Linked DNA regions of Alligator mississippiensis. The protein of the gene in region 1 purifies or fractionates together with the protein of each later gene. This does not show direct contact. Links are inferred from orthologs where the notes say so. Each region holds a gene or a part of one and is shown in the gene's direction. Other genes may lie near its edges.

Evidence for each region.
Region 2: the proteins of VIM (region 1) and GAN purify together in Homo sapiens (affinity purification with mass spectrometry; 3 studies listed by BioGRID and IntAct, counting the BioPlex papers as one, with this or other methods). This does not show direct contact. The link is inferred for Alligator mississippiensis from reciprocal best matches to the Homo sapiens genes VIM and GAN.
Region 3: the proteins of VIM (region 1) and SYNC purify together in Homo sapiens (affinity purification with mass spectrometry; 3 studies listed by BioGRID and IntAct, counting the BioPlex papers as one, with this or other methods). This does not show direct contact. The link is inferred for Alligator mississippiensis from reciprocal best matches to the Homo sapiens genes VIM and SYNC.
Region 4: the proteins of VIM (region 1) and XPNPEP3 purify together in Homo sapiens (affinity purification with mass spectrometry; 3 studies listed by BioGRID and IntAct, with this or other methods). This does not show direct contact. The link is inferred for Alligator mississippiensis from reciprocal best matches to the Homo sapiens genes VIM and XPNPEP3.

What each region holds. Positions count from the first base shown.
Region 1 is NC_081828.1:181,330,030-181,337,237, forward strand, and holds the start of VIM (vimentin), read left to right. Parts: upstream 1-4,204; 5' UTR 4,205-4,250; coding exon 4,251-4,813; intron 4,814-5,680; coding exon 5,681-5,741; intron 5,742-7,208. UniProt on the Homo sapiens protein: Vimentins are class-III intermediate filaments found in various non-epithelial cells, especially mesenchymal cells. Vimentin is attached to the nucleus, endoplasmic reticulum, and mitochondria, either laterally or terminally.
Region 2 is NC_081833.1:70,096,587-70,104,415, forward strand, and holds the start of GAN (gigaxonin), read left to right. Parts: upstream 1-4,828; 5' UTR 4,829-4,908; coding exon 4,909-5,075; intron 5,076-7,829. UniProt on the Homo sapiens protein: Probable cytoskeletal component that directly or indirectly plays an important role in neurofilament architecture.
Region 3 is NC_081829.1:5,341,731-5,348,805, forward strand, and holds the start of SYNC (syncoilin), read left to right. Parts: upstream 1-4,072; 5' UTR 4,073-4,379; intron 4,380-4,807; coding exon of another isoform or gene 4,808-5,039; intron 5,040-5,128; exon of another isoform or gene 5,129-5,198; intron 5,199-5,215; exon of another isoform or gene 5,216-5,369; intron 5,370-5,397; exon of another isoform or gene 5,398-5,705; intron 5,706-5,879; 5' UTR 5,880-7,075. Other genes in the region: NHSL3 (uncharacterized protein KIAA1522 homolog), read right to left, coding at 4,808-5,039.
Region 4 is NC_081827.1:97,768,098-97,775,795, reverse strand, and holds the start of XPNPEP3 (xaa-Pro aminopeptidase 3), read left to right. Parts: upstream 1-4,698; 5' UTR 4,699-4,994; coding exon 4,995-5,055; intron 5,056-5,802; coding exon 5,803-5,955; intron 5,956-7,698. Other genes in the region: ST13 (hsc70-interacting protein), read right to left, coding at 873-930, 4,452-4,561. UniProt on the Homo sapiens protein: Catalyzes the removal of a penultimate prolyl residue from the N-termini of peptides, such as Leu-Pro-Ala. Also shows low activity towards peptides with Ala or Ser at the P1 position.

The sequences.
Region 1 (7,208 bases):
GCTCTGTTGTGGGGTGTAGTAATTGTGGGAGTGGTGGAGATGTGTTGGCAGGTTTTGCATTTCTTGTCATGGCACAGTCTGGATTCTTTTGGTGTGTTCTGGGCTTGAGGTAGTTTGCTTCTGGTGATGAGGTTGGCGAGGTTTGGTGCTTGTTTGAAGGCTAGGATGGGTGGCTCTGGGAAGATCTTTTTAAGAATAGGGTCTCCTTTGCATGAGAAGATTTGAACCCACATTTCCAATCTCACAGAAAATAATTACCAGGACATAGATTATTTTAGAATAGGATTCTCTCAGTTCCTCTTTTTATACTATTTTGTGCTGTTTCACTTTCCATGGCATAACTGAATAGGAAGAAGGAAGAGAAATCAGGAAGCAGAGACAGAGAAAAATGGATAATGACTCCACAGCCCAATGATTAGGGCCCTTACCTTGGGAGTGGGTAATGTGGCTTCTAGCCTCTTCTCCTGAAATAAACAACAATGCTTCACAGTATTTTTTGGGAACAAAAGTGACTACGGTATACTTGCACAACATAAGTTAAATTCATTAAATTATTTTTTCTGAATTTTGAACATTGATAAGTAAATATGCACTGCCTTTGAAGAATAAATGGTCCATATTTAAAAAATGGAAAATGTCTCAGTCTGTCTAGTAAAAATACACAATTAAGATATTAATCTAAAAGCCTGTTTAATATTTGGGTAAAGACACAATAGTCTTTAAACCATGGGTTCACAAAGGGATAACCTACTGCAGTGGTTCTCAACGTCTTTAGAGTTCAGGCACCCCTTATGAGACTCATTTTCCCTTTGGAAAATGCCAGCTCTTAGCTTTTACTTGTTTTTTGACTACAGAAAAATACTAGAACAACTTTTCTGTTGCAAAGAACTCAGAAAGACAGCAAGTCAGAATGTTTACAACAGTATAGATTCCTGTTTGAAATCTCTGGGTTTATTTTGTGAATCATGTTTCACACCTAACAATGCTAACATTATGCAGCACCCTGCACCACTCCTGAAAGCATCTGAAGGCACATCAGGGTGCTCTGACATCCTTGTTCAGGATCGCTAGGATAATGGTTAGAGGATTTCTGCAGAAATGGGGAAACTGGGTTGCATCTCCTTCTCATCCTGAAGGGGTTCAAAGCCACATCTTCCACTTCCTAAGGAGGTGTTCTAACATAAAGCTAGGCTGGGATGTGGGAGGGGGTACTCTCCACCCCTTCTGCTGAATCCTTGCCATGGTTCAGCAAGGAATACAAGATTTATGAGACCAGGGAGTGGAAGAGTACAAGTGAGAGGGAACATGATTCTAGACATCAGTAATGAGGTCATTCACCTGGGTTCCAGTCCCTGCTTCCAAGACTGTTACTACAGCTGTCAGAGTATTATGTTAACGTATTTTATCCATTGATGAGAACTGAAGGTAGCCTCCTGACAGTTATGGTTCTTAAAAATCCCATGGCACTTTTCCTAAAAGTATGCATGTTAGCCATTGTGCTGTGGTAAAACTCCAGATCTGGCCAGTGTGTCCTGACTACCTAAAATCCTTGTCCACTTCTAATGGGATATAATAGTTCCTCACTACCATTGTTTTGTTCTTGAAGTTTTCAGACTACTTTGAGAGTGCAAGCCTTGTGCTCTTCTGAGTGTAGGAACTTCAGAACGTAGATCCCCTTTTGTAATAGGGGAAAGATACCTTGTACCTTCTTTCACTTATGTATCTGTGTGAGAGCATGGCAACAAATGGCTTAGAGGGTCTTACTATTTCCATTCCAGCTGACAACTTTGTAGCATTTCTAAGGAAATCTAACAGTCGAAAAAGCAAAGTAGCAATTGGCCAAGTACTGCATGTGTCAGGAATGCAAGAACATATGACAAATTATGTTTAAAAAATGGGGTTTTCAGATTTATTTGAAAATAAATACTGACAACAGGATTCTCACTGTATGGAGGGATTTTGTGAAACAAATAAATACTGTTCTGCTAGAAATGGCAGAAGGCTGACTGGGTGTGGTACACTCTCTCTTCCCCTTTAAAAATTCAGCTAAACTATCAGTGTTTCCCAAATAAAGTATCATTAGTCTATAAACTGTTTGATATAGGAGCTGTCTTACTTTTGCCTTCTCACAGAAGGAGGGTGTGCCAGAACCTTAAGACAACTCCCAAAGGGTTCTGGTTGAAACTTGATGTGCTGAAATAAAGAGCTCTCAGAGAGCTGGACAGCACAACTGAATACAGGCTAGGATGCCAGTACAGTTAGCCTCAGGAATGCCATGTATGTGTGTGACCCCTGCCTCCTATTGAATGAGTGAATGAAGTGAGCTATAGTACAAGTCTTGTGTTGCAAGCACTTCTGTAGTTCAACCTTGTCAGCTTCGTTTGTTTGACTAAGCTGCAGTGAATAAAAGAAAGGCAGGTCTGAAGATGGGTGGCAAGAGGTCCACAAGAAAACCTTTCATTTAGATCCAAACTATATGCTTTTATTTCCAGGTAGTATCCAGAATCAAAGCACAGCGCAGTTTCCCTTATTTTACAAAAGCCTTTACAGAACATTCCAGGCTTGATTACTACTCCACAGGGAACAAGTAAGTCTGACTCCAGTGTCCTCTGAGGGGAGAATGCTTTGCAGCTCCATCATCAGCTGTCTATCTGCACTTCCAGTAGAAGTATTTGTTTTAATAGGGTTGCAAATGAGAGGAGATGTAAAAACACAATAAAACAAAACAGTGGCTCATTGTCTGTGATAGAGCACACTAGGCACTATGATAGTACATGTAATACATCATAACAGGATTACATTATGTCAATTATATTTTCACAGCAAATATGGAAACTCCTGCTCAGATCACTTAGCTGATCTGTCTTGCAAAGTTTCACTCCTTTGTGCTCAGGCCAGGCTGGGTTTTAACGATGGGGCAGGGGGGTGGGGGGAGGAGTCCCCAAGTCTTCCCTTGGGAGACAATTTTATAAGCAAATACAGTTTGCTGGTAGGGAGTTTTCCCTGCCACTCAATGTAAATTTTCATTCTTCCTAGTTCCTACTCCTTGTAGCACCTGAATAATTGTTCACAGTTGCAGAGAGCACAACTTTCTTAAGTCAAAATTCCCATCTGAGAGGATGAGTCTTGCCTAAGTATAAAGAATGCCTGCTCCTTGCTGTTTACACTCCACAGCTCACCAGAGCACTCATTTAGAAAGGCTCAAAGCCTGGGCTGGTGCCCACTGGAGTCAGTGGCCAGGCTCCTGTTGGGTCCCCAGTCACCGAGGGTTGAGCCAGGAAGCAAGAGCCAGATCTTGGTCTCCAGACGTGCTGCCACGGTGAAAACCATCTTCTATTTATGAGCATCAAGTGCTGACTCCTGTGCACCTCTGGCTAGAACAACACCAAGCCCAACTAAAACCTGCATTTGCACCTTGCCAGGCCCTAGCAAATCCACCCTGTTCCTTCACCCAGCTCAGGGGAAAACCGCGCTGAAGAGCAGTTTCTGCTTGAGGTCTCTGCGCTTCAGCCCTGGGAGAAACGGCGCCAGAGAAGCGACGCTTTTCACTGCTCAGCCTGGGGCCCACGGCCCTTTCGCGCAGCTGAGGCCATACCCTCCGGGGCGTTCAGCCTCTACCTTGCGGAATAAGCAACCGCAGGGGGAAAGGAAGGGCAAGGCTTCAAGCAGACAAGGTCCTTTGGGTAAATCCGATATCTTTTATTAGACCAACTCAAATAGTTGGAAAGATTCTTCTTCCCAAGATTTTTTCCAACTATTTGAGTCGGGCTAATAAAAGATACCGGATTTACCCAAAGGACTTGTCTGCCAGTGCCGTTAGACCAGCGCGGCTACGCCCAACCCTTCCAGCAGCTTTCATGTCTCCGGGGACGCGCGCGGGCAGCGCCGTGTGCCTCTGCCCCGGCGCCGGCGGGGCCGCGCCGAGCAGGGCGGGCTGCGAGCGGGGATGCGGCGCCCCCTGCCCGGCAAAGCGCCGCCGCCCGAGCAGCCGCGGGGCGCGGGCGGATGGGCTCCGCCGCGCCAGCCAAAAGGCGCGAAGTCCCGCCGGGCCGGGCCGGGCGGGGCCGGGGTCTCCCCCGACCGCCACGTCCCGAGCCAGGCCCCCCCTCCCGCGCCCCGCCCCGCCCCGCCCCGCCCGGCGCCGCCGATTGGCTGGCAGCGGGCAGGGCGTGGCAGGCTATAAAGCCCGCGCCGCGCCGAGCGCCCCGCTCTCTGCGCTCGAACCGCTAGGCTCGCCCGACGCCGCAGCCATGAGCTTCACCACGACCAAGGGCTCCTCGTACCGCAGGATGTTTGGTGGCGGCGGAGGCGGCGGCAGCGCCCGCTCCAGCTCCAGCGGCGGCACCCGCTATGTCACGTCGTCCAGCCGCTACTCGCTGGGCAGCGCCCGGCCCAGCGCCGGCGTGCGCCTCTCGTCCACGCCCGGCGGCTACGCCACCAGGAGCACGTCGGTGCGGCTGCGGAGCAGCCTGCCGCCCGCGCGCATGCTGCACGACACAGTGGACTTCTCGCTGGCCGACGCCATCAACACGGAGTTCAAGGCGAACCGCACCAACGAGAAGGTGGAGCTGCAGGAGCTCAACGACCGCTTCGCCAACTACATCGACAAGGTGCGCTTCCTGGAGCAGCAGAACAAGATCCTGGTGGCCGAGCTCGAGCAGCTCAAGGGCAAGGGCACGTCCCGCTTGGGCGATCTCTACGAGGAGGAAATGCGCGAGCTGCGCCGCCAGGTGGACGAGCTCACCAACGACAAGGCCCGCGTCGAGGTGGAGCGCGACAACCTGGCCGACGACATCATGAAGCTCCGCGAGAAGTAAGTGCCCGGGGGGCCGGGGCAGGGCGGGAGGGGAGCTGAGCTTGGACAACAGGAAAACTTTCTCCCCAGGAGGGTGGGGGAAAGCGCTGGAGCGGTTCTGGGGTCTCCATCCTTGCCCCTGGCTACGCAGCAGGGGGCTGCACTAGATCAGCGCTTCTCATCCTCTTGTACAAGGGCGCGGGTGGCCAGTCCCGACCCGCTGCCCCTCGCCCCTGACCTTCTGCCCTAGCCCCACAGTTCTGCCAGCCTGGAGGGAGAAGTTGTGGTTTCACACGTTTTCTCCTTTAAAAGAACCCATTTTTAAAGTTTACGCCTGACCCTTTCATATATTCTTGCTGGGTTGCAACCCACGGGTTATGAAACCCTGAGGTCCCTTTCAACTCTAATGTTCTGTGACTGTAGCCCGGCCTCCAGAGAGAGGTTTCCCTAGGGCTGTGGGGTGAGACCTGGGGCACCAGATCTTGGGTCTTCAGCCCCACCCTGAAGGGGGAGGCTTGGGCGGATGGGCAGGCTAGTCTGTTTCCTTCCTTTACCAAAGGAAAGTCGCTCCTCCACAGCTTGGGTTTCTGCAGAAGGCAGCTTTCAAGCAGCCCAACTTGGAGTCAGCCACTTGTTGCATCCCTTGAATGAGTTGTGATGCTCATGTCTGGTTTTGGGACAGTTGTGTCAACTGGAAGCATGAAAAGCCTAGTCAGGCTGACTTGGAAAGGCTCTGCCCCCCAGGGCAGTGTAGGCATGGGATGCTTCTTAGCAAATGCTCCATCTCTCCCTCTGAATGGGTGTGGCTCCACTCAGGTTTTACACCAGGGGCTGGTGGCTTCCTCCTTGCATGGCTTTACCCCTTGTTTATGTTCCTGCTTTCAGGTTGCAAGATGAGATGGAGCAGCGAGAAGAAGCTGAAACCACCCTACAGTCTTTCAGACAGGTTTGTCTCTCTTGTTTGTTTGCTTTTTTCCCTTCTCTTTTCACTTAAATGCGGGGCCCAGCCAACCTAAATTGAAGTGTATAAAGCTTGCATAATACATAAGTTGGATGAAAAGCCACCTAGTGGTAAAAAAGCAGACTGGAAAAGCTGTAGACGTTCATATGGATTTTTTTGTTTAGTCTTAGAGCGTTTTTGGGGGAATTTTTGGTTAATTTTTTTTTTTTAATCCAGGATGCCAACATGCTTTTAGGGTTAAAACTCAGTTATACAATAATAAACTTGCAAGGTTATTTAAAAAAAAAAAGTATGTAGGGGTTATTTTGGAATATTTTGCAAATGATACAGCTTAATTAAATTGAGTGGGGGGGGTTGTTTTGGTTGTTTTTTTTATTAAATAAATTGGATTAGTAGAAGTCATCTGCATGACTAGGTATGGCATGCCTGATGTATCATAGGTGAAATGTTAGTGTATAAATGAGATCCCAGGACTTTGTAGAGGCTTTTGTTAACGCACAGAGGAATTCTGTCAGTAATCATGTAGATTCTGCTTGTTTTCTTTGGGCCGATGCTGTTGTCTCAGGGGGAGGGGAGAAACTATTGTATTGTTTTGTTTTTTTGCTTTATCCAAGTCTAGCCTATCTTACAAAAGTGCCCTGATGTGGAATCACTTTCTGATCCAATAAGGGTGAAAGGGAACCATCTGCTTGCTTGGCTGAAGGGTATTAATGGTTTCTATGGGATTCACCATGGAATGCAGATGCAGGCATTATGGCAAGTGTAGTGGCAGCAGATTGAAATAATAGAAGTCTTTGTATTCAGGGGGACTTTCAACAGGCTGCATTCTTATCGGATGTGTAATGATGCAAGCATATTTTAGAGGCATCAACTATTTTCTGTTTCCCAGTCTCAAAGTATATAATACAGGACTCCTTCAGAAGACTTGACTGACCTCATTTCAAACTTCCAAAGCTTTTGTTCCAAATTAAAATTTCCTATCTGCTTCACAATCTTGGGGGGTTTTTTTTTTGTGTTTTTTTTTTTTTAAGGGAAGGGTTATAATATCAAGAGCAGACTAACTGGTTACGGTGTTGAAACTGGATTTTCTATTTAATGTAGAGGTTCTCAAAGATGGTGTGGGGGAGCTGGGGGTCTGAGACAGGAGGTAGTCAGCTAAGCTTCAGAGTGAAATAATGAGGGTTACCTGGATACCTTTTAATTACTTTAGCAAGAAACTAACCTTTAATTGACCTACAATATTGAACTTTTCAAATAGTGCAGGTATTTCCAAGTAGCAAGCTTGCAAATAGTGGCTTGCAAGCTCAGCCTTTCTGGTGGTTATTTTAAATTTAGTTAATTTAAGATGAAAGTGCTTACCTTCTTTACATGACTTCCTAAAGAAGGTGAGGAGGAAAGGCAAAGTTCATAGTAGTTGAATACAATCCTGTAATAGGGACTGGGATCTGGCTG
Region 2 (7,829 bases), on another chromosome or scaffold:
TCAAGTTGCAGTAAGGGAAATTTAGGTTAGATATTAGGAAAACTTTTCTCACCAGGAAGGTGGAAAAGCACTGGAATGGGTTACCTAGGGAGGTGGTGGAGTTTCCATCCTTGGAGGTTTTTAAGGTTTTTAAGGCTCAAGTTTCCATCCTTGGAGGTTTTTAAGGCTCGACAAAGCCCTGGCTGGAATGATCTAGGTGGGGCTGGTCCTGCTTTGGGCAGGGAATTGGACTAAATGTGACCTCCTGAGGTGCCTTCCAACCCTCGTGTTCTATGATTCTGTGATCTCAGCACTGGCCTTTGTTGTTTTAAAACTATGTGCACCACTGCCAAGTGGCTGAGAAAATTTTACCAATGAAGCCGTAAGTTAAATACCATTTTTGTAAGTGACACAGTAGAAATGAAATGGAATACTACAGTTAGTGATTACTTCCATTGTTGGAAGAGTTCCCTTAAAAAAACAGACAATTTTTCTTTATCTGAAAAGGCATATATGTATGCCTACAGTTTATCTATCTATAGATATATACATATCTTTTATTTATCTATATCTATCTATATAGATAGATAGATATATAGATATAGATCTATATATAGATATAAACTGTAATCTTTAAAGTTTGCTGTCTTTCATGTAAGCTGGATATAAATCAGCTTTGTACATAACCACCACTACAGGTTTTCTTTTAGGAATTCTTTATCCATAAGACTCCACCTGTAGTGAAAACTCATCAGTTAATCATTGACTATGGACACATGAACCAATATATAGCACATGGGATTCTTAATCCAGCCAGCTTCTTAGGAACTAACTCATATTGTTAGGAGGAAAACCTGGCATGGGAGCGTCTTTCCCAGGAATGAATCAAGATTTGTTTATTAATTTCTAAGGAAGCAAAATGTGCAACATATGTTGGAGTGGAAATGTAATGACAATTTATTCTATGACTTTTTTTCAGTCCTTCATCTGATGGCCTGCTCTATGCCTACTTAAAATGCACAATGTAGGAGGGATTAATATGTTTTATATAGTCTTAAAATGAGTATGATAACAAAAACCTGTAAGTTCAGTTAAGAGCCACTAACCAACTGAAGGTGTAATCCATGTACCACTGACTTGGAAGAAAAATGGACTGGACCATAACTCTTTAAATTCTCTGTCTGGCTGGAATGAAGACTAAAATCTTTCAAGGAGGTGCTCTAGCAATCTTCAAGATTCATCTTATAAGATGGTATTAGGGTATACGTAGCACCCTAATGTGTGGGCTGACAGTATCAAGTGGGTGTAGGTTGTTTCCTGAAATGAGGTAGGGCTCATTGCTTCCTTTGCTGTAGCAATTTGGCATAAATCCGTGCCTGTGAAAGGGGTATGTGGTAATCAGTTTACATCACAGTGACTTGTTTCCTTGACATTCTTGATGAAGACTGGGACGAGAGAGGCTGATACCCCTTTGGACTGGCAAGAAACAGGAATAGCTCTGAGAAACCAGTGAAGTTATACCAGTGTATGTGAAAAGAGAATCTGGTCTAATGACTGCAAATTGAGGCAATGCTAATGAACTAGTTCAAATAACCTTAGAAGACAAAAAAAAAATTACTGTGCAACAGAACAGGTCACTAGGAATATTTACATCCTGTAATTGCTCCCAAGATGTTAAAGTGACCCTTGTAACATCCTGGTACCAGCATTTATGTGACTCATCAATTAAAGGAAAGGTTTATTAAATTGAACAAATGAAGCACAATAATTACTTTATTCTACCGGAAGTGGATATTAGTTGTTACACCTGCTCTTATTGCTCTACATATAGAGTGGGAGGGAGCCGGCTCGTTGTTTACTAGTTTGAATTAAAACCAAAACTACAATTATGTTTTCATACATCATAATAGCACACACAGGTGCCAGTGAAAACAAAACAAGCTCTTCCTTTTTAGATAAACCAGGCCACTCAATGACAGCTTTCAAATTAATTTATTAAGAGCATTACTTCCTTGGTTATGAAATTCCCAAAGTATTAGAAATAGCAGGTGAAACACATGACCCCTTAGCCAATACTGTGGTGTACTAACTTCTTTCAACCTTTATCACGCTCAAAGGGGCTTGAGAACTATCCCCAGTGACTCGACTGATCCCAATGAACGGAGGACACTCAGGACCTTGTACGATTATAGCCAAATCAGAAGCATTTTCCTTTCAGTCTTTTAGACTATCTATTTGTGTATGGTTTGTATTGCACTTATCATGTTCTATGAAGTATTTCCCGGCTGGTGTTCTGTGAAAACGTAGTCTCTTTTATTCTTATGCCTTTACAATTGTTATGTTATACTAGACCAATGCTTTTTAACCTGTGGTCCACGGACCCCTGCAGATCTGCAGCCTATGTCTAAGGGGTCTGCGAAAGATGACTATGATCGATCGAAAGTATGTGAATACCCACCCTTACACCTCAAAGGAGTCCATGTCTCCATTTGAAATTTCCAAAGGGGTCTGCAGCTCCATTCAGAATTTTTTAGGGGTCCACAAATGAAAAAAGGTTGAAAACCACTGAGCTAGGCATGAAAATTATTTTGCACATCTGCATGACTTAGACTGTGGTTATACTGTTCCTGTTTGGTGAACCCCCTATTCAGTAAAGCGCTTGCATAAATGTGAACCTCAGTGTTGTCTACAATGGGGTTGTCCAGATGCTTAACAGCTAAGCACTTGCTTCAGTGATTTTCTGTATCAAGGCTTATGTCCCAGTGATCTCCATGTAAAGAACAAATTGTTGCAGCCTAGCACTATTTTATGGATCTGAAAGCACAATGTTGTCCTTGCAAAACCACTATTTATTTCACCTTCGTTATAATTTTAAAACTATTTCACTCTAATTGTTCCAGTAACAGAACTACCGAAGCTGTCCCCAATCTGGTTAGGCCTTACACATTATAACATACCGTATTACATAACATACATATTATAACATACTATATTAATACAAAATGTTAATATGAATACAACTTTCTTTTACAAATCATGTCCATCACAGACTAAGAAAAGTTGAGAACAAAACGAACCCACGCTAATGCACAAGAGGGGATCAAGCACGATGCAATTAGGATAAAGCAGCATCACAGTTTTTAAAGTGTTTCTTTTCAGTGCCAAATCACAGGTCTACTCTCACTCAAATAGTGAATGCTATTAAACAAAAGTTAAAACAGCTAGGAGGACAGTTCCTTGTGGGCAATTAAGGCATACTAATACAAGGCCTAAACATCTTGAGTACAATCCTTTTAAATAAAATCTTTATGCCTGGAAAGGACTGGCTCCGGTTCCTTTCTGGAAATATTAGCCTGGCAGATGCTTCCACGAAAAGAAGCGCTGTCCAAATGAATCTCACTTTATTTCTCATTTTCTTTTCTTTTTTTCCTACAAGGATTAGCTGGTCCTGGGCACAGAGACAGAACGGTCTAATTGAGGTCAGCGTCGAGGCACCTTGGCAGGAAAACACAGGGAAGCTCGCGCTGTCGGTATCTATGTTGTATCTTTTCTGTAGTTGAGTAAAAGACCATTTTCCCCTCTTCTCTCTACCAGTCCTGGCCACCCCGACTGCCACCTTCCAAAACCTGATTCACGTTTAAAGAATACAGGTTAAAATGCTCGTTTGTTTTTTTCCTACAAGGATTAGCTGGTCCTGGGCACGGAGACAGAACGGTCTAATTGAGGTCAGCGTCGAGGCACCTTGGCAGGAAAACACAGGGAAGCTCGCGCTGTCGGTATCTATGTTGTATCTTTTCTGTAGTTGAGTAAAAGACCTTTATTCCCCGCGCTCTACCGGGCCTGGCCGACCCGACTGCCGCCTTCCAGAAGCTGACTCATGTTTAAGGAATACAGGTGACAACGCTCATTTGTTTTACAAACTATAAAACCATGTAGCTGGAGCGGGATGCCTCGTCGCAGGGCTTTTACGGAAGAGCGGAAAGCGAGCACCGTGGGAGCTCGAGCGCCGTCACCTCGCTTGGTGCGACGCTGCCACACGGAGCCAAACCGGTCTCAGGCCTCGTGTAAACACACGGGCGGACTCGATGGTAGACAACAGGCTCAACAGGTAGCACGGCCCCACATGCGACGTTGGGCACACCGCGTGATCCTGGCACGCGTGGCCAAGCGCAGCTCATGTGGGGCCTGTTCCGGTGTGCGGGGCCTCATCCCAGGTCCCCAGGGACCAATGCGGGGCCAAATCCTGGCGTATGGAGCCAGGCGGCTGTGGCACGGGGCCTGATCCTGGCGTGAGGGGCCTGACCCGGGGCCCACCAGATGACACCATGCTGAGGCCCTAAACTAGGAGGCCCCACGTGAAAAAACAATCCACGAAAACGGATTTTCGTGGAACTTGATGATGAACAGCTGTTATTTCCGCACACCTGTGTGGACTCAGTGCGGGCGGGACCAAACACGTCTCTTTTGTCACGTGAGAACAAAATTGGTCAGTGTTTTTTCCTCCTTTACAGCCCCCTCACGCGGGCGGCGCACGCAACAGCTCAAGGCCGGGATGCGGGGGCGGGGCCGGGATGCGGGGGCGGGGCCCGATCGAGCCCGGCCCTGAGGCGGGGCCAAGGGGGAGGCCGGGGCGGTGGCAGTTAGGAGGCGGTTGCGGGGGGCGGGGCCTGGGCGGTGACTGGACAGAGGCGGTTGCGGGGGGCGGGGCCGGGGCGGTGACGGTTAGGAGGCGGTAGCGGGGGGCGGGGCCGGGGCGGTGACAGTTAGGAGGCGGTTGCGGGGGGCGGGGCCGGGGGTGGGGCGGCCGCGCGGGGAGATGATGTCAGGCAGGCCGGGCGGGCCGGCAGCAGCAGTAGCGGCGGCAGCAGGAGCGGCGGCGGTAGCAGCGGAGGAAGAAGAGGCGGAGGACGAGCAGGCGGCGGCGGCGGGATGTCGGCGCCCCGCGCCGTGTCGGACCCGCAACACGCGGCGCGGCTGCTGCGGGCGCTGCGCTCGTTCCGCGCCGAGAGCCGCTTCTGCGACGCGCACCTGGTGCTGGAGGGCGCCGAGATCCCGGTGCAGAAGAACATCCTGGCGGCCGCCAGCCCCTACATCAGGTGCGGGGAGGCCTGAGGGGCGCGGGGAGGCCGGAGGGGGCTGGGCCCGGCAGGCCGCAGGGAGCCCCTCCCCGGAGCTGTCGTGTCCCTGTGTCCAGGCGGCGCGTGTGGAAAGCCACTGTGCTTTGAGAGGACGTCGCGTGTCCCTGGGATGATGCTGCCGGATTGCGCCGTGTGCGACGCCCGCTCGGACCGGTCCTGGAAGCAGCGGTGCGCTCCTGGACGCGTGTGGGAGACACTATCTACATGTGCAGTGACTGCGACTCAATTTGAGCCGGAGTAAACTAATCCCAGCGTGTGTTTGAGTGCTGCTGGATACCGCTTGTATCTGGCGGGCAGCACGGTTTGTTTGTCTACTGCACCCTCACTGCCAAGCACGTGTAGAGGGTGTCGCTTTAGTGCGTGGCAAATTACTCCGCTGCGCGGTAAAGCCTCTTGTGTGGAGGGTCCCTGCGCGGGGAGGGCCACAGAGCGGGCGTCGCGGGTGCCGGATCTGGTATCGAGCAGGGCAGGGGAGGTCTGTGGCTCAGTCTGGCCCATGGACCACCCCCAGCATGGGCAAACCGGGTGGCCTGGACAGAGAGGGTACCCAAAAATGGTAATTTTAAAAATTATTTTTATCATTATCCCCAGCCAAAGGGGGTCCAATACTAAAAGTTCACCCGGCGCCGCCAGGAGCCTTGGTACGGTGCTGAATCCCGGCCTGCAAGGCCAGACCTAACCTGATCTAAGAACCCCTGATCAAACACTATTAAAAGCCAGATTTAAAACAGCAAGGCAGGGAAGTAAAGCTGAGTGGATAATAGTGGGATTATCGGATAAAGAGCTGTGTCTCAACACTAACTTGTTTTGTTTTCCTGGTAACCTGTGTAGATTTTGCACGGTGCTCGCAGGACAGCGCACGGGTACCACGCAGCCGGCTCTGCCTGCCTTCGGCCTGTCAGGCACCGAGCAATGTTAGCATTTTGGGTTTGGTTGTTTTGCTTTTTGTAACTTCATCCGACAGTTTGACTCTGCCAGAGTTTGTAAACTAGTCATCTTGCTTCATTATTGGTTTAAAGATCAATAGAGCTGGATTTGGCATTAGATAGGCTCATTGTTTATGTTGCGGATGACGGCTGCTATTTTGTTTCTGGCAGCATGTGAGCTTCCCAGGGAGCGTTCGTGGGTTCTGAAGTACATCCATTTTTAACTTTGTAAATTTGATTGGGGCATCCAAAAGCTGTTTCTGTCTTCATGCTGACCTTTGCAGCTCATTTACCTTGACAGTAGGGGAGATCTACTTTGGATCTCAGTAGAGATACAAAAGCCGGCGTAGGCCAGGGGAAAATGAGCTGTTGGTAATGGGTGTCAGCAGCAGGTGCAGCCAAAATTGTGCTGAGACCAGGGACCAGCAAGTGCAGGGAAGGACACAGAATATGCAGCACAATCGTGGCTTCTGAATTGGTGTAGAACAGAGTTGGTCCTGGGCTGCATGTGCATTTAAACCTCTTCACTAATGGTTCTGGTTCAGCAAGTGCAGGGGAATTTCTCTAGTGTGATCTTGCCCCTCGGCTCAGGGTCACATCGACCCTGTATTTGGGGTCAGGAAGGAATTTCGCCCCGTGGTCAGATTGATACGGACTGCTTTCTTCTGTAGCAGGAGGCATCACCTCTACCCGGGACCTCTTGAGCTTATTTTGACAACGTTTCATAGAAGCAGGATGTTGGTTGCTGTGGTTCACCTGCTTTACCTGTGGCAGGTTAGGGTGTTAGTTCTACACTGGTGATTGATGTCAGTCTTACATAGAGCTTAAATTATGGTTGTATGGGATGGTGTGGATAGGGATGCTCCTGCCTCAAGCAGCGAGTTGGACTAGATGACTTCTGGAAATCCCTTCCAGCCCTAGTTCTTCAAGACTCAAAGCCGATGAGTCCAGTAATATAAAATAGTCAGATTATGCCCCTTCTTGATGTATTTATGTTACATGATTGAGGGTGAGTACATGGATTAAAAACAATGAATTTCCATAGATTACTTTGTAAAATTTAAAGGATTTTTCTGCCATTAATAGATGGAGCAACTCTCTTTTTATTTTTTTTTAAGTGGAAATATACTTCTCAGTATTTTTTTTATTATTATTATTATTATTATTTAAGTAAATCCCAAAACGGTAATAGAGCCCTGCTAATATTCTGAGATGTTCATAGAGTCAGGCCAGTTTCACTCTCCCTGCACAAGTTGTCATGAAAACCTGCATAAATTGAGCTAGATATGGGTGAGGTGTATATTAAAGGACTCGAACAGTTGTTGTGTGAACTGGGATCCATCAGGCAACACTGCTTGGTTTTAGACTTCAGATTGCTTGACTTTAGGTTTTGCAAATTGTTCCAAGTTGTTATGTATAATAAACAAACACTCACTGAAGAGGAGCACCTTGGCACAATACTGTTAACACTTCATGTGCCTGTCAAAACTTCACTTAATGCCCAAGGGGATACTCTTTGCACTGTCATAAATCAGATATGCTGTCTTATTTGAACGAAGGAAAAAGAGGTATCACAGATGCTTTACTGCTCAGCGTTCACTATGTTTATGGCAGTTATACACACCTTTTCAAATAACACAGCAGCAGCTTTCAAAGGTCTTAGTGAAAACTGAATAAACTATACAGAAAGAAATATCAACTTGGTAGTTAACTTCTAAATGTGGCTTTGTGATTATGTAGTACCAGAGAGTTAAAAGACATATTCCCTAACCTGTTTGATGGCCAG
Region 3 (7,075 bases), on another chromosome or scaffold:
AGCTCCAGCTTGGCAGGTAAAGACTTTTTGACTTCATCTTTGCTCAGCTCTTCACCTTCCAGTGGCTTGTGTTCCCTTCTGTGCTAGAGTCAAAGTCAATGATCATATTGTCTTATGAAAGAAAACCTTCCTTATACAGAGAAATCTGATTCCAGCAAAGTAGTTTTATCGGATCTTATGGGACATTATTTGCAAGAGTATTTCTTCCAGGTGTCTCCAGGTGGAATGGCTGTGGTTGGAAGACACACCTCTCTTTGTTTAGCAGAGGAGCTGAGTTTCCAGCTCAGACCAGCCAGTAGATTCCTGTTGTTCAGATTTCCTGAAATGTCACTCTCTGCAGATTAACAAATTCATGCCCAAATACATGGCAACAGTCCCACTGAACGAAAGCCTCAAATGCAACATGTCCAGCAGGCTACGTTGCCTTGCTTCTATCAAGTGAGCCGAAACCCTCCCACACTGTGACACAACGGTGTCATCGCAGCGGCGACACGTCTGCCATCGTATGGCAATGGATCTAGTGACTGCAGCATGCAGATAAGACTACACCACCTCAACTATTATTACAGAGCAGCATCCCAGCACTTTCAGGCCTGGCACATAACTGAGTACATAACTGCTGAAGCACAGCACCTAAGTGCCCTCAGCACTAATACACGGCTACCTTAGATCCCTCTGATCTATTATAGTTGAACACCCAGCATCCTCCAAAACAGACGAGTATCAGTAGGACTTCCACCAGATACAGCAAACAATAAACTAATCACATATCATTCCCAGCAAATTCTCTTTCTTGATACAAACCAGCTGAAAGCAGTTAGTATTTGATTTTAACATCACAGTGACCCCACCATCTGGGGAGTCTATTGCTGTTGGAAAACACTAGTACAAAATAAAACCCCTATTAAATTCAGATTACATCAATTCCTTTCTTTCCTAAGGGAGCTCAGAACAATACTGGGAAATTTACATCCCAAACTGGACCAGAATCCCTAGTACGCACTGCTCCTCAATGACATTTTGTTCAAATGGCGCTGCTGAAATGTGGTACCGGTGTGCATGCAACAGTACAGAAAGGTTCAACAACCACCTTAACCCTGTTTGTGGGTCTGTACTGACACTTTCCACAACACGCTTTTCTTCGTCCTTGTCCCCAAGGCTGAAACTCCCTTGAACACCTAAAGCAATGGAGCCCATGCAAAGTGATGCCAAGGGGCTGGGGTCCAAGCCCAGGCTGCTCTCCCTAAACATCCTCTGTAACCTTCAACAGGTCATCTCATTTTCTAGGCCTCAGTTCCTCTTCTCAAAAATGGAGTTACCAGCACTTTGCTGCCCCCAAGGGAATTGTGAGGACGTGTGCTTTAAATTTGCAGGGTGCTCAGATAGGACTCATACAAGGCTCTAAAAGGGACGAGTCAAAATTGGGGAAGGTAACAAACTGACCAAAGCGCGAGCAAGATCACAGGTTCTTTTCATTTCCAGTGCTCTCCGGGGTTATCCCCAACAGGAGCAGATCAATTCGATGGGAGCACAAGGCTTATATGGATGGCACCCCCTTAAGTAGACCAGATCCTTCTCAAACTGTGGAAGCTCTAAAGGGTTAACAAGGCTCCCTGTATCCTTCCGTACCTTGTGTGCCAGCAAAGATGAGTGCGATAGGATTTATTTTGTTTCATAAACAGGAGGTGGAGCCTTGGCCAAGCAGCTGCCTGGGAGATTTTGCAGTTTAAAGGTAACAGTGGGGATGACGGGGGTCTGAAGACACAGGAAGGGTGCCTGACAGTGCCAGGCCCCATCTGTGAATGCCCTGAAACATCAGTGGGCAGAGCACGTGGATAGAGGCAGACACCCAGGCTGGGAGGCTGATACATAGGCCAGGGCCATCAGCAAGATGGAAAGGCTGCAAAACTAAAGCTAACCGAGGGCAATGTCTTGTGGCACTGCTGCCACACCGAGCTCAGCCAGACTTGCTTTCCAAAAAGGTGAGGACGTTTGAAGGCATGACAAGAGCGCCTGGAGTTATGAGACAGGAGCTTCTAAAACTCCAGGCTTTTGGAAGGCAAAGGAATCCTTCTGCTCCCAGGCAGGAGGCCAGCTCTGAGCGAGGAGGGCAGGGCAGGCAGCCCCACGACAGCGTGACTTCCACCTTCCTCTGAGGCAGCTCAGCCAGAGACCGGATATTTGACTACATGGATTTGATCCACTATGGAAACTTCTACCCGTCTTGTGTTCCCATAATTTCAGTGTGAAGCAATCCACCCCTAGCTGACACCCAAATCACAACCAGAGAGATGCCCAGGCTCCAGGGAATGCAATCCTGACCCATGACTCCCTTGACCTCATTGGAGTGATTTTCTCGCTCCATAAACTCATGCCCGGGCCAAGCACAGCCCCACTCCCTGCAGTTCTCTGGCCAGCAGCTGTACTGGCTATAGGGACCCTTTCTGCATGCATGCACCCCAGCCTCCTGCCTATAATCACATCTAATGCTTCACAATGTGCAAAGGAGTGCAATGGACAGAGATTCGCATTCCTAGACTGCTCACTGCTGCTCCACAGACTACTTCAGGGGATGATGCCACAGGCTTTTGAAAGGGCCCGAAGCACCCTGCAAATCTAGAGAAGCAGTAAAGCATGCACCATCAGCAACCCAAGGAATCAGAGTGGTATGGGGCTACCCAGCCCTGCCTCAATTCCAGAGTCTTCCTCCCAAAGTCCCATCCCACCATCTCCAGCTTGGCAAATGGAAAATTCCCAGGCACTGGCAAAGCATATTACCCACTGCTCACCCCCCGTCATGAGTATAGTGCATGCAGCTAGGAAGCTCTAGCCTTCCTCCTGGTCAGTATTTCAGGCAATGGCAGCTGAGTGTTACCTGATCCCAGCGCTGCACCCATATTGCACATAAGAAACTAATAAATAACTTAGTACCATCTATAGCTGTCACTCTTTCCTGCTTGACCATACTGCCCAGTCATGAGCCTCAGCATCCTCCCACCCTCCCGTGACACACAGAGGCACTATCGCCTCACTTTACGAAGAAGGACATCGAAAAGCAAAATGTGACTGGCCCAAGGTCACACAGAAGGTCTGGAACCGAGCCATGATTACAACCCTAGGCTGAATCCTTTGGTCTGTGCTGCCTTCAAGGCCAAATCCTCAGACTGGGAAGGGCTAAGCAACTGGAATAGCAGGGGTTAAACAGGGCAGGGTCCCCTTTTGGACAGGAGCATGTTATAATAACAGACAAGAGGAATTTAATCAGGCGCACAAACAGTAATCAGTTCACACTGGTGTTGACTGTAGGATCCACACCTCTCTCCAGCACACCAAGAAGCGGCTCTGCTACGGAAACGTGGCACAGAACTGTTCAGCCCAGTTCCACGTGGGCCCAGCAACCCTCATTCGTGCCCCAGCCATGCCCAGCTCTCAGCCACTTACGCCTTGGGGAGATGCTCCAGGCTCTCAACAGAGCCATGTCAAGGGCATGCAGCTGGTTCACAGGCCTCAGCAAGGAACAGCAGCATGACTGGGCTGTTTTATTCCCTCCTGTTCAGGTTCTTAAGCTAAGCCCATCCCTGTTATATCCAGGTCCCTAGTTTTTTTGGGTTGGTTTTTAGCCAGATCAGGTCCAAATCCATTTGAATCGTCCAAGAACCATATGTGGTCCTGCTACTGGCAAGTATCCTCCACCCCAGCCTGAGGCTTACTTCCAAATCCTTTGGCGGGCATCCTACGTGCAGGCCCAAGCCCAGAGACTTGGGGTTTGGATGCCCCTGAGTTTTGCTTGCCCTCAGCCGTATGGCTGCAGGAGCAAGCTAGGGAGGAGTCTCCCGTCTAGTGCTGAGGGAAAGGCTGGGGGTACGTGTCATGCTGGTAAGTCTCAGAAGAATGTGATGGGGAACGACAGCCCTTTCTCAAACATCCCTAGGGAAAGACAACTTGTGTTTCCTCGGCTGTTTCCATCCTATCGCACTGTGCTCCTCCAAGCAAACACCTGACTGAGTGTTGACAAAAAACCAACTTCCCACATCACACGCATCCGGAAATGAATGCCCAAGGAGAGTGCAAGGGGAGAAATGCTGCGCCGTGCACCTGGTTCGTGCTCTCCTCCCTACAGAGGCCAAGGGAATCTCGGCCCCACCAAGGCAGGGGAGACATCATCTGGGGACAGGAGCAAGGACACTGCCCCCAGCACTTGGAGCAGCACTGCACTGCTCCTACCGCGCGGCCACACGCCAAGAGAGGACACCCATGTTAAAAAGAACAGCACCGCCAGGAACGCAGCAACACGCAACGCCAGGCAGAGGCCTGCAAGAGGAGTCTCCATCCCGGAGACGAAGGGCTGAGCCTCCAGCAGCTTGGCTTCGGCACGTAGGGTAGGTGTCACAGCTGCGTCTCCTCTCCCAGCAGGCCAGAAGCATGGGCTTGGGGCACCCATCTCTAGCTAAACTCTCACTTCCAGGGTTGATGCCCCGACGCCATGCCGGAGTCAGGGGGCAGAGCATGCCCCAGGATCCTGCACGCAGTGCCCCACGCGCCAGGCTGCCACGGAGGCAGGAAAGGCCACGCCGGCGGTGCCCGAGTGCCATTTGGAGACGGAAAAAGCTGGAGGAGCTCCAGGTTCCTCCCGGCCTCTGTGACCTTCTGACTCAGTGCGCGGGAACGTACCCAGCCAAGCGGCAACATCCCCGTGGGGGGGGTCGGAGATCGCCCCGCGTCCCCGTGCCCGGGTACCCCACTGGGCAGCGACAGGGGTGCCCCTGGCAGCAAGGAGCCCCCGGGGAGGCGCCCGCCGCCCGCTCACCTTTGCCCTTCTTGCCCCGCTCCTCTGGTCTCTTGCCCTTGGGGGGCAGGTCCCCTTGGGCCGGGGGCTGCGAGCTCCTCTTCTTCTTCCTCCGGCCCCGCAGCCAGCTGAAGGCGCGGCGCAGCCCGGACGAGCCCGGCTTGGACTTCTTCTTCTTGGGGGGGCTCTCGGCGCCCTGGCCCTGCCCGGCACCCGGCGCCCAGGTGCTCTCGGCCCCCGCAGGTGCAGCCATAGCGGGGGCAGCCCCAGCCCCAGCCCCAGCCCGGCAGCGCGGAGGGAGCGGCCGGGAAAGTTTCTCCCGGACGGGCGGGCGGGCGGAGCCTGGAGCGCGCCGGGGTGTGGAGCTCAGCCCCGGCCCGCACCCGCCTCCAGCCCGGCCTCCCGCAGCCAGGTAGGGGCGGGCAAGGGGAAGGGGAAGGGGAAGGGGCTGGGAGCGGGAGAACCGGCCACGGCTCCGGCTCTGCCCCTTCCTTCCCCCGCCGGGATGAGCCGGCCGGCTCCTCCCTCCTCTCTGCGCTCCCGGCCCGGCTTGGATGCGCGGACTTCCCACGGGCGGCGGCAGGTCTGGCTCCCGGGGACCCTGGGCAAGAGGAGGGGGCCCCATGTTGCAACATTTTAGGGACCCCCTCAAGTGTGGGGCTCCGGGCGGTCCCCTAAGGAGGTAGAGCGGGGTGGGGGGCAGCCGCTGGCTGTGCCCGCCAGCCCGGGAAGGACGGCCTTGAAGTGGGTCTCTCTGCCTAGGCTTTGGGTTCTTGCAGAAAGGGAGGCCTGGCAGCTAATGCCCCCTACCCATCCACCCCGCTGCCCGTCAGCGTGGTACCTAAGTGCCGCTGGATACTGCTCGCTTGACCGGTTCTGCGTGACCTTAGGCAAGGAGGAGGTGAAAACACTTTCAAAGGTGCCTTCTGGGGTTGTCACGTTGCTTAAGCAAGGATCCTAGAGGGTTAAATGTTCTCCAAAGAGATTGTGCTGGGTGGATGCAGTTTATCTGTCTGTAGATAAAAGTGGTGCATGGGGATTCGGGAAGAGACACCACTTGCTATTTCATGACTGTTCTCTCCCTTTATTGCAGACAGCTTGGTACCAGACTGGAGGTCTGCAACTCCACGTAGTCCAGAAGCAAAGTGGAGTTAGCGTTGTCACCGCTGACAAAGCAGTAATACAGAAGGCACGCGAGAGCAATACCGAGGAATTGGGGGTTCGGTGCAGCTGGGGTTGGTCACTCTCAGCTGGTCATCTGGCCCTAGGCAATGCCTTGTGCCGGGCTGTTCGTTTATAATCAATCTGAACTGGAAAACAGCAAGGTTCAGTAACGGGCTGATGCAGTTTCGCTGGCCTCTGCTTATAAAAACAAGCAGGTCCCAGAGGCAGATCAGTCCGTAACAAGAATTTTGTTCCTCGGGTGCAAAGAGCCCACACCCAGCAGCACAGAGCAGTTTACCTAGGCTGTGTATTTCCATCAATGTCATAACAGGCTGGAGCTAACTCTTCATATACTGTGATGATCAGAGCCCCATAAATCCTTCCTGTGGATAATGTATAATCCCAGACATACGTATGTACAGCTCGCGTGCATCCACATATTGACTGATAGCCAACTGCTACCCAATGGAGAGAGAAAACATTTAGAGGGATGAGGAATGTCAGGGCAAGTTACCAAAATAAGCTGGAGTATGAGTGTTGTGTACAAGAGCCAGCGAGAGGGCTTGAGTCATCCTCTGCTCACAGCATTTCATTCATCTCCTAATGATGCTCTGAAGACTCAGAAGGAGCTGTTATGCATCCTGTCGGTGCTATTACTCCGCAGATCTTTGATGGGATCCATTGCAGCGGCTGGCAACGTGTCTGCCAGGCTGCAGCTTGGAATATTACTGGCTTAAAACAGACAGGGAGGCTACAAACATTGCAAGCTAAAAAGCTAATTGTCTTTTTTTGCTATAAACACATTTACGTTACCGGGCAGGTGTGTTTTCCAAGCAGACGGACTGCAAAACTGTTCTCTCAAATACAGTCTTTTTTTTTCCCCCTTAGAGGATCCCAAAAAGCCTGTCCAAGACATAAATGACTTTGTCGACTTCTAGACATGGCTAGAAGTACTAAAACCCTCACCCTCTGAAAGCTCGGCTTTCTCTCCTCTAGGCTTCCCAGAGCAAGGCCATCTCATTCAAACCGAAAGCTTTCTGAGGCAGAGGCTGTTTGTGTTTGTGTGGCTTGCACAAAGCTGAGTGTCTTAAATAAATAATAATGATCCTGGAATGGAAATGTGGA
Region 4 (7,698 bases), on another chromosome or scaffold:
CCCCCACCTCAAACTGGCCAACAATGCCAACTTTCATTACCTACTAATTAAACTTTCACATAAACAGCGCTTCTCTAAAGCTTACCATAAACATCCCCCAAAGCTACCTCATTACCCTCTATTAAATTATACTTTGAAAATATCTTTTGCTGCAATGAGTATAAAACATTTAACAGTTCAGCTGCTTTTGCCATTTCCTATCATGCTGACCAACTGTCTCAGTTTCCTTATACTTCCTATATGTCTGCATACTTTTCTACCATCTCATAGTAGCTTAGACTGCGAATTCTTCAGGGCAGTTCTTCTTAAAACTGCCCTTTAGTGGGCTGAACCATAGGTTCATCTTCCTAAGTATTTTGTGTCACAGTGGAAGAGTGGATGCTGAAAGGGAGAGTGAACAGAGCTATGACCAGGGTTTTTCCCACTGTTCCTCTCTCACTTGCAGCCTCCAGCATTTAGTGTCTAGGAAATGCTGATTTAGAGGTTGTACCTGTAACTCTCATGCTCAGTAACTACTAGATGCACCTTGCCTCCAACAATCTGTCCAACTGCTTTTCAAATCTGGCTAAACTGTCAGCGTCCACAACATCTGATGGGAAGGACTACTCTTTTGTTCAGAGTGTGTGTAGTAGCTGGATGAAAACACCACTTGAGGTACACTGGGAAGAGTGGTCTTTGGCAAAAAGGTATTCACTACCAACTGCAAACAGACCAGCCTGAAACTGTCACAGTTCAAACTCTGTAGAGACGCCCTATTTAAAAGCTTCTATAAATTCACTTGTCCCACTGAAAACTTTGAACAGGTTTTCCCCCTGAAATACTATGATTTTTCTGTCAAACTACCCCCCCTCCGGATAAAAATGCACTCTTACCTTAACTGTCTCCTCTTCAGAGGCACTGGCTGGAGCAGGTGGTATCGTACCTCCCATGCTTTTTAGGAAAGGAGGAGGAATAGGGAGAACAAAAATTAAAGACTAGATTAATCAAGTACAGGCCTTTCAGCAGGATTTGAGCTTAGAATAAGAAAAGACTGTCCCAAAGGTAGAAGTAAAACCAAACTATCACTGTTGTCAAAGTAAAAGCACTGAACAAAAAAGCCAGGCACCCTTCCTTTAAGTCTGTCCTATAGTAGCAAGTTAGTTCTAACTCAGTTGGCCTTTCTGTTTTAAACTCCCTATTTTACACTACCCATTTTTTTTTCAAAAAGAATATCTGTCAATCTGCCTGAAATTGCTTGTTCTTTTCTTTGATCTATAAACAAAGTTTGAGTAAAGAAAGCTGAAAATGCTAACTAAATTTTATCTAAATTACTTCAAAAAAAGTTAATAATTTTTACTAGATTTAAAAATTACTGAATCTTAATATTCACAAGACAATGCAGGCACAGAGAAAACTAAAGAAAATCTATTACATCATCACAGCATCTAAATGTTCTTCACCACTGGTAAGAAAGACATGTTGTTTATGTTGGCACAGTCCCTTTAACAGCACAAACTGTTCTACTGCATTAAGACTCTAGATGAGCAGGGTTCGGAAAGTACAGCTTAATAAAGATCATTAGGGTAAGTGGGTATGTCCTCTAACTACTGGAAAGCACTGCATGCACCCTTGGTAAATTAAGTCACTCGGTGTATGCTATATCAAGAGTTTTGCATTCTGAAAACGCCTTAAAAAAACCCAACCTAGATATAAGTACTGTACACTTGACAACGTTCCTACTAATCTTTTCTTCCCTTTCAGAAAGCAGCTACAACTTCTCCACTAGCTGTTTCTTCAACTCTCCTAATAACACAAATGATCAATACTGTACTGATGATGAGTACAAACAGGCATAGTGCGTGGCCTGCAGCCCCGAGAGACTCCTGTTCTACATGCTCAGAAAACCTAGCACTTGAGTTCTAAACAGCTTGACTGTATAATGGTTACTGGCACTACAAATAGTGCCAACTTGGACACTACCCAGAACTTAAGAGCATTAGATGGATACATATGGATCTTAAGCGTATGTCAGTGCTACTCTAAAAGCTTAACAAGAGGAGAAAAGTGTTTACAAGACATTTTTAAAGACTGCCTCATCTGCTCAACCTGAGGAGGGACTGACGACACTATTGTTTTACTCTAAGTTTTTCAATCATTAACCCCAAAAAGCCAATAAATGCAGACATGAAACCTTGTATTATCTGCAAAATGTGACTTAAGACCCCCAAGCAAATGCCCACACACTGAAGAAAAGGCAAGTTTTCTGTTTTCATATGCGGAATAACCTCAAACTGAAATAAATACAAGATCCTGAAAATTAAGGATTTTTTCTTGACAATATCAGAATACTGTATTTACTTGCGCATAACCTGTGCCTTCCCCAACAAACAATTGGGGTGCATATTATGTGAGAAATACAGATCTCTGTGGGTCTGGAGATCTGGTGTCAAATTTCCAGACCCACAGGGAGCTCCCCCCACCACAGGTGACATGGCCTCACAACACTGGATCTGACTGTCATGCATGGCTGTTCCATGGCTGACCCTGTCACACAATGGGTCCAACCCAACAGGCCTGATCTGGTGCGTGGGGCTGACAGCAGGCATGGCTCCCTAGTTGTTGCTATAAAGATTTCTTTTTCTTCATGCTGCCTTCCAAATACAGGATGCATACTGTATACAAGGGCATGTTGCATACAAGAAAATAAGAGTACGTCTTTAAAAAACTCTAACAAACAACCCAATGAATTCTGCATACTTGTACATCTAAACATGTAAAGTGAGGGTTTGATGTTCATTGAGAAAGTTTCTTGCATTCAGGAGTTTAAATGTGAATGTTCAACTTGAAATAATCAGTTACAAAAGCAAAAAAAAAAGATGATCCAAACAGGGGGGCCTGATTAAGATGAGTTGTTAACTGAACTGCTGCAAAATGAGCATTACAGTCATTTCCCCTACGGTGCCTTCGACACCTAAGATAGCAGTCTAAGACATTCTACTTGTTTTTTTTTTTTACAAGTATGGGCTTTTAAACAGATACTAAGTCTGACAGAATAAAAAAACATGAACTTCCTCCTTGCAGCCAAGCACTTTCCCTGCACTCCCCATATCTACACACAGAGTGATTCTAGCTGTCAGGACTCAAAAGACACTCTCTCTCTGGTTCTCCAAACTCACCAAGCCTGGGTACAGCTGATTCTGATGGGGGAGGGGAAGGGGTGGGATACAGAGATATTCACTGTGAGAAACACCTAGGCTAGGTCACTTCCAATCCAAAATAAAAACATTACCTGGAGCCATAAATACAGTGCACATGTACAGCAGCTGCCTGGTCTTAGGAAATGGAGGCTGGTTGAAGCAAGGGGTTCCACATGCATGTAGCAAGAGGCAGTTGGTGTGCGGTGCTAGAGCAGTGGTTTACAACCTGTGGTCTGTGGACCCCTGGGGGTCTGCAGACTATGTCTAAGGGGTCCGCAGAAAGTGACTGATTGATCAATCAAAAGCAAGTGAATGCCTGCACTTACAATTCAAAGGGGTCCGTACCTCCAGTCAAAATTTCCAAAGGGGTCCTCCAATAAAAAAGGTTGAAAACCACTGTGCTAGAATGTAAGAACTACCATTGACGGGGTCAGACCATAGATCCCTCCTGCCCAGGCTCCTGTATTACCTGGCTCTTCAACAGATTGCAAAGAACCACTTCAACAGACCAGAAACTTTCCAGTACTTTGTCAGAGCTGACCCTGGACTCCAGCTGCGTTTTCTAACCCCTGTAAAGGAGGTCACATGTAGCCTCCTGTTTTGGGAGACTGTACTCACTCCTCGCGAGCAGTCCCACTAGCCCCTTGATGAACACCCTCCAATAAAAAGGCCTGTATGTCACACAGTGGCAAAGAGAGGCTGAAAAGGAGAGTGAACTGGGAATCTTGGACTGCAAGTCCCCAGTGCCCCTCACTCCCCTGCTCAAGAGCAAGGGATGTCCCCTCCCCCGCCAAGGACAGGCTGGAAGCTGGCCAAGCCCCCAGCCAGCACCCGTGACAGTGTCAAGGCTCCGTGAAACCCAAGGTTCGCTCACTTGCCCGCCCACCACGTGTGGCCTCGGGCTCCATCCCGGGGCAGGGCCGAGGCAGGCCACCGCCAGAGGAGCTCTGCAGCTCCCCTACCCCCACGCTCCCGGTTGGTGCAAGGAGCTGCCCCCTCCTGGAGCCCTGCGGGAGACACAAAGTCCTTGTTTCCCTCAGTCTGAAGCGACCTCCTCGCCTCGCGGGACGACCCCTAGTCTTGACCCGTCTCACTCCCCAGCCGCTCAAGACTTGGGAGCCCCTCCTGGGCCGCTTCTTCAAAACACAGCAGGCCCCGCCCCCCCAATCCCCTCGGGACTCTGGAGCGCAGACGCTATTCCCTCCGCCGTGGAGGGGGTGAGCGCATGCGCAGCGGCGGCCGCCCCTCGGGAGGACAGGGGCTTCCCGGCCTCACCTCTCGACCCAGTCGCGCAGGAAGTGCAGCTCCTCGGAATGCAGCAGCGCCGGGTTCTCTTTGCACAGCTTCACGAAGGAGCGCAGCTCGCTTAGCTTCCGCGGGTCCATGGCGGGCCGCGCAGCGTGCAGTGCAGTGCAGCCCAGCGCTAGCCCCTCCTCTCCGCTGCCCGCCCCGCACCGCCTCCCCAGCCCCAGCCCCTGACCCACCCCCGCCGCGGCCCCGCCCCTCGACCCCGCCGCGCCGCTGCGGCCGGAACCTTCTGGAAGCGAGGCGCCCGGAGCACGTCCCACTTCCTCCCTCAACGTCATCAACAACCGCCCTACTCCAATCCAGGCCCCCACAGTGAGGGCGGAGCAGGTCGTTTTGCTCTACGCCGCTTTTTTTTTTTTTTTTTTGACAGGAGATTAGCGCCGCCACCTCCTCCGCTTGGTCCCCGGCCGAGAGGAGGCGCTGGCGGATGACGTCATTAGCCAGCGCGGGAGGCCCCACGCGGTGCGCGCGGGCGGGGGGGGAGCGGCGCGGGAGCGGGTACTTCGCGCTATGGCCTGGCTCCCGGGTCAGAGGTGTCTCCCGGCCGCCCGCGGCTGGCGCAGCCGAGCAGGTCAGAGCCTCTGCTTCCTTCTAGGCACGGATGCCCCCAGCTTGGCCCCCACTGCCCACGTGGTGGGGGCGGCGCCGGTGCTGCCAGGTGCACGGTCATGGTCGGATTTGTACGAACGTTTACCCCGTTGTACGAACAGTAATAGTACAAGCGTTCAAAATTGTAGGATCATTTTGGAGGCAGCTTAGGCACGCAGCAGGTGGAAAACCTAAGTCACTGGCAAAACTGACTCTCGGGTTTGCTGTGACGGCTCACCTCAAGATTAGGGTTGCCAGCTCTCCAGGATTGCCCTGGAGTCTCCAGATATAAACCTCCAGGAGACTGCAGAGAGGCACCCAGGGGATGAATGATAGGGCATTCATTAAAATAAATATTAAATGTTGAATCTGATTTATGCAGTAGTTCAGTGGGTTTTAAAAATTTAATAGTCGTGTATTTGCCTTCCTGACCAAGTCTGTGCGCTGTACTCCGTAACATGCAGGCACATTCGTATTGTGTGTCATGGGCACGTTGGCATTCCCGAAACTTCCCAAAATAGATTCAAACAGAGTTGACAGTCCTACTCAAGACACAGAAATGCTTAGACTGTGATGACCCAGCTCTCACTCACTGGCAGCTTGCAGTGAACAATATAAAGTAAAGAAGACGATTTATTTATGTACTTATTTGCATAGTGTTTCAGCATGTGATAGCTTTCCAGCAAATATGATAATTTTGTGCTTACAATATGATAATTTCATATTTAAGACCCGGCAATGCTGCTGCATGCACCTGCCCTCATTGCCATCACAGCAACTCGGAAGGAGTCATGTCTGCGTGGCTTCTCCTTCTCCATCTTTGCAGCAGGTCTTGGTGTGACCCTGCCAGGATCAGTGCAACCCCTTAGACCTGTGTGGGAAGGTGGGTGTCTTTGCAAACGTTTCCCAATTGGTGTTTCTAGAATGTCTTACATCAGGACCGAAGTGTTTGTAAAGCGGGGATATAGTCCTGATGCACCAGAAAGGGTGCAAGAGGCAAGGGTTTCTTAGGGGAATCGCTGCCCTTGGGCCAACCACAGGCAGAGCCAAGATCTTGAGAAGAGGGCTGCGCAGGGTGCAGTGCATTGTTATGTAGAACACAATGCACATTTTTCTCCTGTAAAAAGAAGCTGTAAGCTTTACTAATATGCCAGGGGTCCAAGGGCTGCGTTTTTCTGTTTAAGATGAGAGCAAAAACAAATATGATTTTTGCAATGTGCATTAATTTGTTGTCGTATATAACAGGCAGAAGTGCACTGATACATCAGTGGCATATCAAATTGGCAGTGATAAAAGGCAAATTAGCATTGTTGGTAATCAGCTTTTTTGGCCAGTGTAGTCGATAATGTGACCATTAAATGCTGCGTGCATGCACACAGACAGCTTGGAGAGCAGCATCCTGAAGGTAATCCTGCTGGGGAGGAAATGGCATGGGGGAGGGAAGGGGCATGGGGGGACGGATTGAGGCTCCCACAAGGCCCAGCCAGGGCAGTGAATATGACCCTTCCGGGACAGAGCCTCGGGCAGCTTGTTCAGGGGGATGGGGAAGGGGGTGGCTTCCCACCACTGCACTGCACCCCCAGGGGAAGCAGGAGAGGCATATGCCCCCCTGGATTTGTGTGCAGGGCAAGGGTGGGCTGCCCACTGAGGACGCAGGGCCAGGGGCTGCTCCAGCCTCTTTCTGGCAGGGTGCTGAGCACTCAGGGCTGGAGGGGGTGGGGCAGGCAGTGGCAGTGCTGGGAAGGGTAGCTACAGGGGGGGCTATGGTGAATTTTGGGGTGGCCATAGCCCACCCTGTAGCCACCCCTCCCAGTGCTGCTACCTGCCCCACCCCACCCACCCCAAATGCAGCCGGGAAGAGGCTGGCACAGCCCCTGGCCCTGAGCCCACAGTGGGCAGACCACCCTCACCCTGTGCACAAATCTGGGGGGGCACATGCCCTGCCATGCTACTCCCAAGGGTGCATGCAGCGGCGGGGAGCTGCCCTGTATCCCCTGGACAAGCCACCTGCAGATCTGTTCTGCTCCTGGCAGGGTCGTATTCACGGCCCTGACTGGGCAGCGTCTGCCCTTGCCCCACTCCCTCCCTCACTGTGGGGACCTCAGTCAGCCCCCATCATGCCCCTTCTCTCTCTCTCTCTCTCTCTCTCTCTCTCTCTCTCCCCCCCCCCCCCCCCCCCCCCCCCAAGCTTCTGGGCTGCATTCCTGTAAGTCGGCTACTGAATCAGTATTGGCCCATTATGGCTGGTTAATAATCAACCATTGGTATCAGCCAAGAAAATCTTTATCAGTGCACCCCTAATAACAGGGGCAGACAACTCCCAGCACAGGTGCTAGAGTGTGCAAAGGCATTTTGCTTGACACACGCACCTTGGGGCAGATGGTGGGGAAGGAACCAGGGCTGCGTTGTAACAACAAGGATCAAGCCCCTGATGCCTCCCTGTTGTCTGTCTCTGGCATGCCGACATCTTACAAGTCAAGGTTATGGGTGTTTTTGGCACTCTGCCCCAAAATGTTGCCAATCCCTAACCCAGTGATTTGATGTTTTGGTCTTCCAGGACTAAAGAAATAAGTTCTGTTTTCATTGTAACTAAAGCATACATACACATTTAGGAATCTTCCTAATA